Ovis aries: one gene and its partner. The protein of the gene in region 1 purifies or fractionates together with the protein of each later gene. This does not show direct contact. Links are inferred from orthologs where the notes say so. Each region holds a gene or a part of one and is shown in the gene's direction. Other genes may lie near its edges.

Region 1 (3,655 bases):
TAAGGTGTAAATATTTCTTATATCTTTTTTATTGGCTATGTGTTTTATGTTTTTACTGCCTCTGGATTTTGATAATCTGTGAAGCATCCTCTCAAACATATAATTATGAGCTGACAAAGATTCTGGTTGGAGAAAATAACTCCTGTCTCACACACCTTTGGAACGTGTATTTGGGGAACAGAAGAGAACAGGCACAGCCTGAAACGGTTACGAGCATGTGGACTTGCGGCCATGGTTGTTAAACCCAGAGTGTCTGATTTCAGAAAACAGACTTTTAATTGGCTTTCAGATCTTTCCTTTAAATGGCTAGAAATTGCTTCCCCATTAGAAAGTAAGTTTACAGTTAATGTTTTTCTAAGGACTGTCGGCTTTGTTGAACCTTGGTGGTTTTCCTGGAGCAAGGGGTCAGCACACTGCAGCCCACAGGCCACGTCAGCCTGCTGCCTATTTTTATAAATAAAGCTTTATTGGGACGTGTCCATGTTTATTCATTACATATTATCTGTGGATGTTTTTGCACAGCTAGGGCACAGTTGAATAGTGGCCATAGAGACTGTGTGGCCTCTAAGACCTTACTGGCCTTTTACAGAAAAAACTTGTCAGTCTCCAAGCTAGATGAATAGTACTTTGAATGATCCTGGTAGCTGATTAAAGCCTTCTCTTAATGATGTTGCAGCCTTCTTTAAGATTTGGTACCTATAAATCTGAAAGAACCTTGCTGATTGACATGGGATGACACTTAGCAATCATGGAAGATGGTGTTTGTTTTCAACTCACCTGCTTAAATGTATAAAGCAGCTAATGTATGGATGGATTTTTTTTAATGATTGTTTTTCTTAATTTCTTTACCGTATTCTAAAGTAAGGGGCATTTTAATATTCATGGAGGTTGATGTTCAGAACACAGAGGTCATTCTCCTTTAACAGAGTTCATGCTTCCAACATGGATTTTCTTTTTTTTTTTTAACGATTGTATACTCCAGGCTTCATAAAACCTCAGATCATTACATATTGGCACAGTGGAAATATATGGTTTATATTCCTGGAATCTATAAGAGGTTTTACTGCAGAAGGAACTTATCTTTAGAACCTTTTAGTTGCAAATGTTTAGAAGCATGTTCTGTTTGGAGATTTGTTAGTCTTAAGAGATTTGACTTAACAAGCTGCATCCTGTCAGTAAAGTTGGGTAATTTCCATTGTTGGCCCATTCTGGGAATGGAGAGACAAAACACACCTGCTCTGCATGACTTAAAGCAAATATAAGGAAGTTAGCATGAAATCTGGGTGAGAGAGATATGATTCATCCAGGAAGAATGGCCAGCTGGCAGGATTTCTTCCTGAGTTTGAGGACTGGAGCAAGGCTGTAACTGTGAGAGTTACTGGCAACATGAAGTCAAGTAACTTCTTATCAATAATTAGAAACTGATTTTTCATTGCTTTGGAAAAGCATCGGTGTACTGAGACATTGTCCAGAGTCATTCCTTTTTTGTGCCAGCACCTTTGGCATATTTCCTGTCCTCTATTGTTCTCTCCCCACTTGTTTTTTTCACTTGCCACTTGTTGCCTTTCTTTAGATGGTGAGCCAGGGTCAGTGGTGGGGTCATTTCCATTTTGGCAAATTATAGAGCCAGCAGTGTCCTGGGAGTGTCCAGCACATACTGCTGGCGTGCTTAGCAGTTGTCTTGTTGATCCGATAGCCATCAGAGAAAACTGTCTTCCAACGCAAGGTGAATGCCCCGCTTAGCAAGGAGCCGCTGCTTCCAAGATCAGAGGTAAACTCTGTACCTGATAATAGTGGTGGCATGTCACATCTTCATTCCACGACCCTGAGCCAACTTTACGCCACAGTTTCAGTTTTCGAACGCCCGGGGCACTCCCCGTGGTTGACTCTAAGCTTTCCTTTCTTGCAGATGTTCAGGCGGTTGCTTATGAGGAGCCGAAACACTGGTGCTCTATTGTCTACTATGAGCTCAACAATCGCGTGGGCGAAGCGTTCCATGCCTCCTCCACGAGCGTGTTGGTGGATGGTTTCACCGATCCTTCCAACAACAAGAACCGCTTCTGCCTCGGGCTGCTCTCCAACGTTAACCGGAATTCCACCATCGAAAACACGAGGCGGCATATCGGAAAAGGTGAGCCTTCGCTGGAGCTTCTCTTGAACGTCTGTCTGTTGTGTTCTCCTTCCCCCAGAACTGACCGGCAGTCTTTCCTGGAGCCAACGCCAGATAATAAACACCTGTTGCAGAATGCCAGGGACAGAGGAGCCTGTTGGGCTGCCGTCTGTGAGGTCGCACAGAGTCGGACACGACTGACGAGACTAAGCAGCAGCAGCAGCTCCAGTTTGTAAATACTGTTTCAATTTATGTCGTCAGGAAGTTCTTCATTTCCCAGTCAGTGATTTTTGTGGTCTACTGACTCATAATTGTTATTTAATTAGTTGAAATTGTGATGTGCTATTTGGGGATACTAATCTATCATACGTTTTGCTGCAGAACGAAATAGCTGTTAAAAATTCTTTACAACCTAAAACTAAAAGCAAACGCAAACAGGTAAACGCTAATGTATTTTAAGTGGAATGCATTAACTTACTGGGGAAAAAAAACTTCAAAATAACTTATGAATATAGTAGTAATGCAAGAGACCTGGGTTCAATCTCAGGGTTGGGAAGATCCCCTGGAGTAGGAAATGACAACCCTCTCCAGTATTCTTGCCTGGGAAATCCCATGGACAAAAGAGACTGGTGAGTTGCAGTCCATGGGGTCGCAGAGAGTCGGACACAACTGAGCAACTAACATAGTATTTGCATATCCTTGGCCTGGACCAGGTAAGGTAGAGTGCCAACAAACATATCCTGAACTCTTTAGAGTAGTCTTGATTATTTAGTGGCAGAATGAAGGAAACAGTTACGAAACTTTAAGATGTATTCATATTATAAAATTAAGCAAATGACTGAATGTGTGGATGCTGTGGGGAACCTGGGTTTTCACTGTGGTATAAGAAGCATACAGGTGTGGAGGAGGGTAAAAAATAAACCCTGTGAAAGTTTTAGTGTGAAGTTATGATTTTAGTAGTGTGTATATGTGTGTGTGCATAACATGTTTGGTCTCCTGTATATGTGTGTGAATGAAGGCTTATGTATTGGGTTGGCCAAAAAGTTTGGATTTTTTTCCATGTTACAGAAAAAGCCGAACAAACTTTTGGACCAATCCAATAGATGTGTTTCTGCATGCATATAGTTTCTGATTCATCTATTGGGTTTGATCTGTATGCATATAGTTTTTGATTCATATGCTAAAAGGGTCAAGAGGCAACGATACCCAGCAGCGCTAAGCACATACAGTGATCAGATCATCATTTCTTGACACCATGTTGCTAGAGAGGAACCCAGACTTTGGAGAAAGGGCTGACTTCAAGGCTGGAATAGGTGGGCACAAAATGAGCGTAGAATGTTTTGTTATGGCTGAAAGTAAAGAAATATGTACGCACGATGGAGGCATGTCACAGGAGCCAACTTGGAGTGATTTCCACTGCCAGCTTGGATAATTGAAACGCTGAAATAATAAAATACAGCGATGAGTTTTAAACCACTGGAGAACAATAGTAATTCGTAAGTCCATACCAATAATAGATAAGTAAATGAATGGCGAAGGCTGATG
Region 2 (2,422 bases), on another chromosome or scaffold:
CTGGTTGGAGGTGTGGCTTCCCACATGCATATTCATGAGCATGTTTGCAGGGGTGGGGCTGAGTCCCCAGAAGGACCACCTCCTCCCCATCTGGCCGTGGGGCCTCTGGGGCCCTCAGGTGGTGCGGTGCCCGGGTGAGCCCCTCCCTGATACTGCGGATACACCCAGGGGCTGTGGGCAGTGCTCGGAGGGGACAGGGACCTACGGGGCAGGCGGGTGCTGGGGAGGCCTGGCGTGGGGGTGCCCCTGAGCTGGCTCCTCACCTCAGGAGCTGGAGTTTCTGCGCGTGGCCAAGAAGGAGAAGCTGCGGGAGGCCACGGAGGCCAAGCGCAGCCTGCGGAAGGAGATCGAGCGGCTCCGTGCGGAGAACGAGAAGAAGATGAAGGAGGCCAACGAGGCGCGGCTGCGCCTGAAGCGGGAGCTGGAGCAGGCGCGGCAAGCCCGCGTGTGTGACAAGGGCTGCGAGGCTGGCCGCCTGCGGGCCAAGTACTCTGCCCAGGTGCGCAGGGAGCCACGGGAGGCAGAGGTGGCGGGTGCGCCCTTGGCATCTCAGGGTCCCTCCCCTCCTTGCCAGGCCGTCTGTATGTGGGGAGCTGCTCGGCTTCGGGCCCATCCTCCGTGGGGTGATGTGGCCCTAGGCTCTCCTCTCTTGTCCTGGAAGAGGGCTGAGCTCACCCTCACATGCCCATGAATGTCTCAGCTGGTCCCCATGGCCATGCTGAGCAGCAGGCTCCCAGGGATGGGGGTTGGGTGTCGTCCCCTGTCTTAGGGTCTTTGGAGACGGTGCTGGTCCTCCTACTGAGCTCACCAGCAGGTCCAGTGGGTGGCGTGGGAGGCGAGTATGTGATGGCCGGAGGGTCAGCCCGGCGCCAGGCAGCGACAGGGTGGGTGGGGAGCAGCTGGCTAATGCAGGCGTCCCTTTCAGATCGAGGACCTGCAGGTGAAGCTGCAGCACGCAGAGGCCGATCGTGAGCAGCTGCGGGCCGACCTGCTGCGAGAGCGGGAGGCCCGGGAGCACCTGGAGAAGGTGGTGAAGGGGCTGCAGGAGCAGCTGTGGCCGCGGCCCCACTCCGAGGCTGCAGGTGGCGAGAGTACGGCCGAGCTGGAGCCCTAGCCGAACCCACTGTCTGCTGCGCAGGGCGGATGCCACAAGGCGGGCGGGCGGCAGGGTTGGGGCTCCGTGCCAGCAGGACGCCCCCCTCCAGTCCTTATAGCACAACGTCTTACTGTGCCTAGAACCAAGCAAGTGTTTGGAACCACATACTTTTGGAATCCACTGCAAAATTTTCTACTGGCCAAGTTCAAGCGTGCAAGCCGGTTCCCAACTGCCCCAGAGACGAGGCCAGCTCGGTGGTTGTGGCTGGCCCTCTGCTTGCCGGAACGTTCTAACATTTACACTTTTGTTATAAGCTATTTAAAACCAATAAGGAGACTTGATATTCAGAAAAATCAACACGTTTTTTAATGACTAACTTTTAAAAGCCCCACCCACACGTGATGCCCCCCGAGGACCCACATGGGAGCCAGGGTGGCCCCCGTCCTGCCCCTCGAAGCCATCGCAGCTTGTCTGCACCTGCGGCCGCGTGACCACACGAAGGGTTTTTCTCCAGAGTCTATTTTTTCAGCGACAAGGACCTGTCTCCCGCACTGTCGGGGGAGGACCCGGGGAGTGCCGCGTGCACGCGAGCTGGAACACTGCCGCCTTACCCACCTACCGGCCCCCGCCACCCACAGGGTCGTCTGCAGGGGCGTCCGCAGGGGTGCTCAGGCGGGCGGCGGGGGTGGGTCCGCGCTGGCCGGGCATGTGCCCTTCTCCACGCGCCCCTCCGTCCAGCTGGTGCCCCACAGAGGCGTCTGCAGGGGTGCTTGGCGGGGTGGCGGAGGTGGGTCCGCGCTGGCCGGGCACGCGCCCTCCTCCTCACGCCCCTCCATCTGGCCGGCGGCACGCCTTCTGTTTGGGCCGAGGCTGCAGCATTGCAACAAACACAGCATTATTTCAGTTTTTCTTTTTTCCTTTTGTTTGTTCGTTCATTTAAACGTATACTTAGAACTGCACTTTGTCAAAAACCTTCCCCTTCTCTTTTTATTCCCCAGTTAACTGAGGTTTTTACTTTCAGATACTGCAAACCGATTTCTAGAGCATCCACATCCTAAGTGCTCGAGTGTCTAGAAACCCCTCTGGTGCTTGGTTGAACAAGGGAATCACACGAAACGAAAACGCAAAAACTGAACTTCGGGGGGTGGTTCTGTGCCTTCCAGCGTCTTGTACAGCAAACCCTGACTCGTCTTCTTCCCCCAGAATACGTCTCCAGTAGCTGTTGGATCTGCCATGATCACAATGAGTTACCTGCATTTATTCCAAATAATCGCGTTTACTCTCAACTGTATGCGAATTGTATAAGGTTTCTTATGCCCAAGCTTG

The links.
Region 2: the proteins of SMAD1 (region 1) and SKI purify together in Homo sapiens (affinity purification with western blotting, with the first as the bait; 3 studies listed by BioGRID). This does not show direct contact. The link is inferred for Ovis aries from reciprocal best matches to the Homo sapiens genes SMAD1 and SKI.

What each region holds. Positions count from the first base shown.
Region 1 is NC_056070.1:12,812,397-12,816,051, reverse strand, and holds part of SMAD1 (mothers against decapentaplegic homolog 1), read left to right. Parts: intron 1-1,909; coding exon 1,910-2,131; intron 2,132-3,655. UniProt on the Homo sapiens protein: Transcriptional modulator that plays a role in various cellular processes, including embryonic development, cell differentiation, and tissue homeostasis.
Region 2 is NC_056065.1:49,826,680-49,829,101, reverse strand, and holds part of SKI (ski oncogene), read left to right. Parts: intron 1-268; coding exon 269-499; intron 500-925; coding exon 926-1,114; 3' UTR 1,115-2,422. UniProt on the Homo sapiens protein: May play a role in terminal differentiation of skeletal muscle cells but not in the determination of cells to the myogenic lineage. Functions as a repressor of TGF-beta signaling.